Caenorhabditis elegans: one gene and its partner. The protein of the gene in region 2 purifies or fractionates together with the protein of the main gene of each other region. This does not show direct contact. Each region holds a gene or a part of one and is shown on either strand. Other genes may lie near its edges.

Region 1 (7,587 bases), on a different chromosome or scaffold from region 2:
TCTCATTTCTTTCATGTACATATGTGCTCTTTTCGCGCATAACTTTTTGTTTGTTCTTTTTTTTTAATTTTCTCCTTTTCTTTGAAGATTCTAAATCTTAATTGTTGAGCGATCTTTACAATAAAATTATTTCTCGACACAAAATAATATTCAAAACAAAAGCATTGCCACTCCATTAAAGGTGGCCTATCACATATCATATTTTGTCGGTCTTCCGTTTTAGCAACAACTAATACATATTGGTATTGAGCGCGTTTAATGGTTGCCACAGTTTTCAATTTTCAATTAATTCAAATTTCAGCTGTATAACCGTGGATTTTTTTAAATTAAACAAAAAATTATTCGAAAATTGCTAAAGGAAGATCGGGAGAAGGCATCGGTCAAAATTTCTCGTACTTCGTTTTTTTTCGCAATTTCCTTACTAATATGATGGAATACTACAGTTTGAAACAATAAACCCACCTTTAGGCCACCTTTAGACTACCTTTAACCCAAAGAAAACAACTTGAAATTAAACAAGAATTGTAGTGTTTTTAACTGATATTTGGCTAACTAAGTTTTTTTGTTGATCTGTTGTCAATATTACACTGGCACTAAAATTACCACAGTGCGCACTATGAAACCCAATTTTTCCAGCATGGAATTTTAAAATATCGATCAATGTTGTTTCAGATACATTATAAAATTTTTAGATTCAAGGCTCTCAAAGAAAGAAATAATTAAATTGAATTTTGATTTTTTGATATTGAAATTTCCTTTCGAATTTCCGTGTTTTATGATCAGTGCTGATAACAAACGAGTGAGATGTGGCAAAAGGTAAACAAAACAATAAGTGGTGTAGTTTTGGAATGTCAGTAAGCGTTTCTGAAATTACCTGATTTTATGGAAATGGGTGTATTTTTCCCACAAACTGCTCAAACTGGCATACTGTACTCAACTAGATAGAAGCTAAAAATCGAATAGCCCCAGCGGGAAAATTCTTAAAATTTAGATAAAATAACCAAATTATTACTTACATCGTAGTTTCACAGTATTTATGGTTAAAAAAATCTGAAAACAAATTCCGCATCCCTGTGGGCTTTTTTGAGTTTTTCAGTCAAGTTTTCTCGCACTTTCTCTTGTCTGTACTTTCCCTTTCATATTCTTACTAATATGACCGAGTACTGTAGTTCGAGACAATAAACCCACAAGACCACCTTTGAATCAACGAATTGACGCAAAAATGTGCAATAAAACCAAATTTCCTGCTCCAAATGCCTTTTTGAAGCTCTTTTTCTTTGTTTGTTTCTTTTGCAGCTGAAGTCAATAATTTTGTATTCTGCTTCACAAGTTTCGCCTTCAAGGTTCTGAGAATCCACCCACTTTGTGTTTTATCGAAACTACAGTTAACAAGGACCGATTGCCGATTATGAACCAATTTCGACAATTTTGACATTATAAGAGGCTTAATTCACTCAATTTACATTAGTCAGGTACTCAATTTCTTCTTTCCGCTCGGAGAAGTCGCACTCATGTTTTAACAATCATTTTCCTATTCTTCATTTGTTGAAATTGAATATTTAATTTGCCACTAACACATTCAAATTTCAGATGCGCTTGGGCATTTTCCTGCTGGCACTTGCCGGCTGTTGTAGTTTCGCTAGTGCTAAACAAAACTGCTTAGTCGGAAATCTAATTGTATCGGAAAATGTTATTACATCAAAGTCTGTTGAATTGGTACGTCCAACCGATATAAATTCTATATTTTTCCATTTGACTACTTCAGAGAGAATGCGAAGGATTGTGCAGAAAACAAACTGTCAAATCTCCAAGCGGAGGACTTGTTCTCTTGACATGCGAAGAGAACAAGCTCATGGCTTTCATTAACAAAGGACAGGATTGCTCCAGCAGTGAGCTTGAGACATCATGCTTCTGCGAGGATGAGTTGTGTAACAAGGTCGACTTGGAAGAAAATATTCCAAAGCCAATCGAAGTTATTAATGCCCCAAAGTGAGTTTTGTTATCACTGTTTTTTTGACAACTGATAGGAATTGAGGTGTATATCTTCTTTCTTTCTTTTTCAAAAAAAAATGGACCAATTCATTCAATTATTGGATTAAAAGATCTGTATGAGTACCAAAACAACAATTTTTCATCTTGAGTGTTTCATTAACACTTTTTCAAGCAAATGCAATTTGAGAATGTGTACCTTCAAATTCGTTGATTTAAAAAAAAAACTCTCATAAAATATTGTAATTTGAAAACTGCAAAAACCAGTCCAAAATTCCAAAGCTTTATTTTGCTATATTTAATCCAATTTCAATTTGTGACTACAGTCAACGTCAAACTGATAACAATAATGGAATAATTGTTTTACATTTGGGCGCGCTTCTTATCTGATTGTGCCAATAGCGCATGCAACACAACCATGAAATGTGGCTCGATAGCTCCTCGGCATTTAAATTCCGAAATACCAATCGTGTGATAAGAAACTGATACATATGTAGTATATTTTTGGCGATCGCCAAAATTTTCCTAGGAGGAAAATCAAAGAAAAATAGTAAAATACTGATTTTGTGTGTTTGCAGCAATATCCTCTGCTACGTCGGATTCTATGCCAACAACACTACTCCAGGATTCGGATCAGGGGACACCGTCACTTGCTCCGCAGGAAATGTATGTACCAGTGTTTCTGGAGTCTACAACGGATACGACGCTGCTGCCTACGCTTGCATGCCACAAGGACTTTGCGACGGCATCTTCCCAAATATTGACCCAAATAATCCAATCGCCTGCACCAATCTCGCTGGAACCAACATTCAAGGATGCTGCTGTTACAAGCAAGATTGTACTAGCCTCGCTCCAATGAACAACCCACCAACTCCATCTCCATGGAACAAGAACAACCAGACATGCTATCAAGGAATTTCCGTCAACGGAGCTCTCTTGTATGGAGGATCCTTCTCTCAATGCTTGGGAGAATGCGGATCTGCTCGTATTCGTACCACTTACAATGGAGCCAATGTATGGGGAGAGATCTTCGTTTGCGACCCAGTCAACGTCTTCACTGCTTTGAACCTCGACAGCGGATGCATGAACCTTGACACCCAAAACATCAATGGAGTCCCAACCGCTCTCATCACCGGCTGTGCCTGCAACAGCATGGACAAATGTATTGACCCAACTGTTGTTCCACCAGTCTACCCAGTCAAGCAGCTCAGATGCGCTGTCGGACTTTACAATGGAACAACCTGGCTCGGAGCTGAAATGAACTGCCAAGGACGATGTGGACGTGTCAGGTTCAATGCCAACGGACAACAAGTTTCATACTTCACTTGCATGCCATACGATGTCTGCGCTGGATTCGGACTTGCTTCCACTGAAGGACAAACCTACAATCCACCACAAGACGAGGAACTTGAGGTGTACTGCTGCTCTGCTAGCAACAACTGCAACGTTAACAATCCATACATTCTCGGACGTGTGAATAACTCTGCTGTGTCTACCGCCAAGTATCCAGTTCTCTGCTACGGAGGAATCTGGGTTAACGGAGTTTCCATCACCAACTCTGCTTACGGACTCTGCCAAGGAGAGTGTGCTTCAGCTAGCTTCACCACCACCTTCGCCAACCAAGTTCACAATGCTACCATCTACACTTGCGATCCAGTCACAATGTGCCAACAAGCCGGAATCTCCAACTCTTGCGGAAGCGTTCTTGGAGGAGTCAATGCTTGCTGTTGCGACAATGATCTTTGCATTGATCCAAACAGAGGATCTCAACGCCCACAACTTCGTTGCTATTCTGGAGTTTCTATTCCACAAGACAAATACAACACTGGAGGAGACCAATTCTGTGATGGATGGTGCGGATCCTTGAACTCTGTTGTCAACGGAAAGAACGCAACTGTCTACTACTGCGCCCCAGTTGGAATGTGCCGCTACTTCGGACTCGGATTCGGAGGATCTTACGGAAACTGTGGACAAATCCCAGGAGCTGACCCACAAGTCACTGGATGCTGCTGCTCAGAAACTGACAACTGTCTTGCCCCAGCTGGAGTCAACGTCACTGCCATCCCAGCTCGTCGTGACCCAAGAATTGTCTGCTACGAAGGAATCCATCTCAACGGACAAAACATCAGCCAGCCTTACTACCGCATGTGCGACGGAGAATGTGTGTCTGTTTCCCTTGGAGGAACCGTCAATAACAACTCTCACTACGCTACTCTCTACACCTGCGATCCAAGCAGTGCCTGTGCCGCGATGGGACTTCGTAACAACTGCTCCACCATTGACAACTCTCTCACTGCTTGCTGCTGTGACTCCAATGAGTGTATTGATCCAACCTACAACCGTGTTCCAGGAAAAGCTCTCAAATGCTACGTCGGTATCAGCACCCAGCACAAGGGAAACATCGCAGGAGCTGAAGTTCTTTGCGACGGATATTGTGCCACCGTTTCCGCTGTTGTCGGATCCGACTATGTCACCGCCTTCCATTGCGCTCCAAGATCTATGTGCCGTTCCCTTGGACTTGACAACTCGAACAACACTTTCTACTTGGACAGATTCGTCAACGCGTACTGCTGTGATGTCTTCGACAACTGCAACGTTGCTACGTCTGGATTCAACGTCACCATTCCACCACTTGCACCAAATGAGATGCCACGCGCTTGCTATTCTGGAATTTTCATTGGAGGAAGCCAAATCTCTGACGGAGGATGGACTGCTTGCAAGGGAGATTGTGTTGCTGTCAACTTGAACACCACATACAACGGAGTTGCTACCACTGCTTCTCTTTACACGTGTGACCCATCTTACATCTGCAGAATGATGAACTCAACAAACAGATGCCACCAACAAGAACAAGGATTCGAGACTTGCTGCTGTGACAGCGATGCTTGCCTCGATCCAACATCCACCCCACCACGTAAACCATATGGAGATGGAAACCTCTGTTACGTCGGAGCTTACTCCTATGATTTGAAGGGAAATACCATCTTCAATGCCGGAGGAGAACAATACTGCGAAGGAAACTGCGCATCTGTTACTTCAACACTTGCCAACGCTAACGTCACTGTTTACGCTTGTGTCCCAACATACGTCTGTAACAGCTTGTACGTCTATGACAGCTGCCGCACACTCTGGTATGATAGAGATATCACTGGATGTTGTTGTACCAATGGACCTAACTGCAACTTGAATCAAGTTGTTCCAAGACCTCCAATCAACAATCCCGGAAGAAGACGTCCACGTGTTGAATATCCAATCACCTGCCCAGCTGGTCTTATCGTTGACGGATTCAACCAAACTCCAATGGAATTCTCCGTTTGCTTCGGTGAATGTGCCTCTGTCAGCATCAATGCTACGATCAACGGAACTTTGCACACGGCTTCCTTCTACACTTGTGATCCATCGTCTGTCTGCTACCAACTTAAAGTTCATAACAACTGTACTTCCCCAGAAGCTGGAGTCACCGCTTGCTGCTGCGACAGTGATGCTTGCCTCGATCCGAACAGAGGAAAGACCGTTCCAACTCCACCACTCAAGTGCTACGTCGGGCTCTATTCTACCAGCGTGCCATCACTTCAAACCGGAGCTGAACAACTCTGTGACGGCAAGTGTGCCTCGGTTAACGCTCGCATTGCCAATGACAACGTGACCCTCTTCGCTTGTGTTCCACACTCTCTATGCCGTTCCCTCGAGCTCTACGATTCCTGCGCCCGCATGGAGCCATACTACCCAGAATTCCGAGCTTGCTGCTGTGACAATGCTGATAACTGCAACGTTCGACAGACCCATCTTGCCAACGTGATCAACACCACCATTCCACTCACTCCACTCAATGATGCTCCAATATCTTGCTACTCCGGACTTTTCATCAACGGAACCGCTTACAGCTCGGCTGGATGGCAGACTTGCCAAGGAGAGTGTGTCTCAGTATCCATCACATCTCAATTCAATGGACAAGCCGGAACCGCTGCTCTTTACACCTGCGATCCATCCCGCGTTTGCCGTAATTTGAAAATTCTGAACAAGTGCTCCACTCTTGAGAACGGAATTACCGGCTGCTGCTGTAACACCAATGCCTGTATTGATCCAACAGTCTATCCAGCTCGTAACCCAGGAAACCAACTTATGTGCTATGCTGGTATCAGCTCGAACTACATTGTTAATGGAAGCGCAGTTAACGTTGGAGCTCAAATTCCATGTAACGGACAATGCTCATCCCTCTCAGGAGTTGTCGGTGGATTCCAAGTCAACACCTATCACTGCATGCCAAACTCGATCTGTAACTCCCTTGAACTCTACGACAACTGCAAACCAGTTTGGAATGACAACCAAGTCACTGGATGCTGCTGTAACAATGCCAACAACTGTAACATTGCCAATACCACCATCACTCCACCACCACCACCAACTTCAGTCGACTATGCTATTGCTTGCTACACTGGACTTTATGTCAACGGTGTTCCATCTACTCCAGTCATTCTCGGAGCTTGCCAGGGACAATGTGCGTCCATCTCATTGAACACTACACTCAACGGAGTTGCCACCACAGCAACTCTTTACGGATGCGACCCAAGCACTGTTTGCCAATCTCTCAACATGAACAACTGGTGTGCCTCCCCAATCCCAGGAGTCTCCGGATGCTGCTGTAACACTGATCTCTGCCTTGATCCACCAAAGAACAAGACTGTACCATCTGGATTCCGCAAGTGCTTCGCTGGAATCTACGCTCAAGGAAAGGCCACTGGATCTGAAATCTTCTGCCCAGGAAAGTGCGCCTCAATTCAAGCTACCCTCAACCAAGACCCAGTTGCTATCTTCGGATGCGTGCCAACCCAATTCTGCAGACAACTCGAGATGTACGACGAGTGCAAACCACTTCCATATGATACCACAGTTACGGGATGCTGCTGCGACAACTACAACAACTGCAACGTCGATTTGGCTGGATATGGTGGAAAGATCAATACTTCAATGCCAGTTACGAACTTCCGTGATTATCCAATCGCTTGCTTCTCTGGTCTTTACGTCAATAACATGCCAATTTCCATCGCTGGTTGGCAAGCATGTAAGGGAGAATGCGCTTCTGCTACTCTCTCAACCATGTACAATGGAGCTCTCACCAACGCTACAATTTACACTTGCGATCCAGTCAGCACATGCTATCAACTTGGAATGAACAACAATTGTACTACCATTGAGAATGGACTTTCCGGATGCTGCTGTTCTACCGATGCTTGCCTCGACCCAACTGTTTCTCCACCACGTACTCCTAACCCACTCAAGTGCTACGTTGGTCTACAATCTACCTACAATTCGTTGAGCCTCGGAGCTGAGACCTATTGTTCCGGACAATGCGCTTCATTGACTGGAATCGTCGGAGGTTTCAATGTCACTACTTATCACTGTGTTGCTGATACTATCTGCAAATCTCTTGAGATTAAGGATACTTGTCGTCCACTTTGGAGTGACAGAGAAGTCACTGCCTGCTGCTGTAACAACGCGGACAACTGCAACCTCAAGGATCCAAATGTGAAACCAGGACCAGCAGTTCTTCCAGATTTCCCAACTGCTTGCTACCAGGGACTCCTTGTCAACAACCAA
Region 2 (3,324 bases):
AAAAACGAAGAGAAAATGAAAAAAAATAATTCAAATAAATTTTGTGCGTCAAATAAGGTGCCCGGTCCGCAGCCACAGTGTTTGCACCGAACAGGAACTACAGTACCCTAAAATAGTATTTTCCTCGATTTCAGTTTTTGAAACTTGCTTTAAATGAACGAGTGGATATAAAATAGAAAATAAAGCTTTATTAAAAGAAAATAAGTGAAAATCTGATTAAGAATTTTCAAAAAAAAATCTTTTCCGAAGAATAAATCGAATTCCTTCACTATTTTTTCGAGATAAGAAGTTTTAAGAGAAAATGCCCTTTGGAACTAAGTAATGATTAAAAAGTATTAGGGGACGCTAAGCACGCTAAAACTGATGCTTCATAATAATAAACTATGAATTATCAACTTTATAGCGGTGACCTCTACCATTACTGCCGAAATTGCGCGTAAAATATGGCGCTTCGACTCAGTGTCTGCGAATCCATTTTTCGGAATTTAGAAAATAGAAATATTCAAAACCAAGGTTTATTGATATGAAATTTGCACAAAAATTCAAAATGTATCATAAAGAAAGAGTATTTTAAACCAAAAATTAAATAAATTAGTGAGAAACATGGGCGGAATGAACATGAACTCCTCCCTCGATCTCAATGAGATGGACTCCGTGGGATGGAGTACGCTCGACAAAGTCAGCGAAGTGGGCTCCGTTGACGAAGATCTGAAAAATATAATAGTTTAAAGATTAAGTTTCAGTAGGTGAACAGGGCTCGAAATCCAATGCTCATCAGAGATGGGAGTACGAAAAATCAAACTTTTCCACGTGGTGTCGAAGTGTCCCATTTTGGTGTGATCTTCAAAAAATGCGGCCGAAGAGGCGCTGACTTCTCAACTGATTTCGCATGATTAAGAGTGTGCTGATGTCACGAAAAATTCCCTCATTTTTTGTAGATCAAACCGCAACGAGACAGTCTGGCACCACGTGCTTTGCACGAACACAGTCCGCCTTAACATTCTTAAGCCCAGAATCCAACTAACCGAGATAATTCCACCGTTGGACACAAACTCCAGAGTGTAGATCTTGTTCTGCTGGAATGGATTGGCGTGACGATCCTCGGATTGCCAACCTCCTCCGCTGGTCGAGTTGTTCACAACAGCTCCCTCATCGAATCTAGCGTTGAAGTGAAGAACAATGTCGTCTGGAGTGCGAAGATTGATGTGGAAACGAGAATCGGCGGATGTTGGGAGAAGAACGAGACGGAGGCGAGCACCGTTGGAGAATCCTTGCACTGGGATGTTCACTGGGGTTTGTGGGTTGAAGAATTCGTTGCGGAAGCTGATTCCGATTCCTCCTCCGATCATGGTTGATTCTGAAATCAACTGTGTGAGTTGGGAAGGGAAACATGTTAGGAGCAATACTAAGACCACTATTCGTATAAAATGTACATCTATGAGAATTGTAAGCTGATTCTTTGGCTCTAAATCGCATGTTTTATCACTAGGTGATGTAAAATGTCTAAAGATCGAAAAGCCGAGTAGTTTGAAAGTTGATAAGAGCGTATGAAAAACCCTCGGCAAAGTAAACAATTCTCGGTGTCTACTGGGGGAAAATGTTCAACGAAAAAAAAATAGAAATTGGGCAATAAATGTAAACAATCCTCATCTATTTATACATCACAGAATGGGCGGATTCTTGCCTATGAGTCATCAAATACGATTCTAGAGAATTCCTTACTACATGAATCATGGAAAAAAAGGCTTGAGTACATTGTACACCTGCCATCGTCTCTTATAAGCAGTGTTTCTTATCAACTTATTGATGAGTTGGCATATGCTCCGCCTCGAACTATTTCGATGATAAGTTGCTTGTTTACTGAACTGAAAAAGGCTTTTCGATGAAAAATTCAGCCCGGCATAAAGAATGTCACGAGTTAGTTTGGAAATTAAGATGTGTGCTGATAAACGTCAAGAGAGGAAGTAGTGATAAAATTCTAGAGTTTTAACAAATTTGCAAAATCTCTGAATTGTTTTATTTTAGGAGTTTTTCAACCTAAATTCGTATTTTAGTTATTTAATTGTTCCTCGTTCCACACGTCACCATTTACAACCCTTATTATCGAAGTGCCAAGTTACAGGGAGAACTTGGTACATACCAGCTCACCAAGAAAAACCGATCAATAATGTAATAAAACCCGCTGACATTGAAGACAGAAGATACCGCAATTTTCTTTAATAGCTTGGGTTTTTATTAGCGCTAAACAATATATAACGTGGCAGTTTTTTTAATGCTGACTTATAAATAGTACTTTTCCTTTCAATGAATCTTCAGAGAATTTCAATGTGGCATTTTCTTAAAATCTTCCTCCGTTAAGCCATATTGCAATTGTATGTGGTAAACTTTCCAATACTATAAAAATTGAACTTTTAAAAACTTCTGAAACTTGAGTTTACAGTAACTTAAAGCTTAAAGGTGGAGTACCGAAATCTGAGACTTTGCTTTTTAGGCTCAAAACTACCGCATATCGTAATGAGACATCTTGAAAATTTCTCAACACGTTATGGCAGTTCAAAAATCTGGAAAAAGGTCCACTTTCAGCTAAAATCAAATTGTTTCCAACTTCTCGGTGTCGCTGCGTCTGGAAGTTAATTTGTATTTAATTACCACTTTCTAATAAATAATGTGATCGTTTAATGCGCATTTATTCGTTGGTTTAAGTACATTTTCGGCCAGTGGGGCACAAATAAAAGCTATGTTTTTGTGCCCCAATGACCGAAAATGCACTTTAATCAAACAATAAACTCCTAATAAAAAACCACAATATTTATCAAAGAATGAAAATTTTATTTTAGCTGAAAATGGGTCTGTTTTTCCAGAACTTTGAACCGCCATAATTTTTTTTTGCGAAGTTTTGAAAACGTCTCATTACGAAATTCGGTAGTTTTGGGCTATTTTGGGTCTAAAAACAAAGTCTCTGATTTCGGTACTCCACCTTTAAGATTTTCAAGTATACCCAGGAGCCACGTGTCCGTAAAAGTTCAATGATGGCATTTCCGGCTAGTAGTGATGTAATTTAGTCATGAAGCTGATTTTTTCTCCTCAATAATTTTGATGATTAATTATTGATAAGGAAAATGTCAAACAATTTGACGATTACCAGAAAGTTATTTTTCTACAATTCATGAATATCGGTTAAATTTGAGTAATCATTTTCTTCGTATGGAGCATGGGAAATTATTTAGACCTTTGCAAATTCAATTTTTTTTAAAAGCATTGTTAATTACCATCGTATTCCAATTTGATTCTAGACTACTATCAAACTTATTGAAGTGGTAATAA

What was found. The genes of interacting proteins can lie anywhere in the genome.
Region 1: the proteins of lec-6 (region 2) and gfi-1 purify together in Caenorhabditis elegans (affinity purification with mass spectrometry, with the first as the bait; 2 studies listed by BioGRID). This does not show direct contact.

What each region holds. Positions count from the first base shown.
Region 1 is NC_003283.11:6,393,925-6,401,511, reverse strand, and holds the start of gfi-1 (ET module), read left to right. Parts: upstream 1-1,580; 5' UTR 1,581-1,590; coding exon 1,591-1,716; intron 1,717-1,765; coding exon 1,766-1,989; intron 1,990-2,567; coding exon 2,568-7,587.
Region 2 is NC_003281.10:599,010-602,333, forward strand, and holds lec-6 (Galectin), read right to left. Parts: upstream 1,358-3,324; 5' UTR 1,350-1,357; coding exon 1,026-1,349; intron 709-1,025; coding exon 592-708; 3' UTR 501-591; downstream 1-500.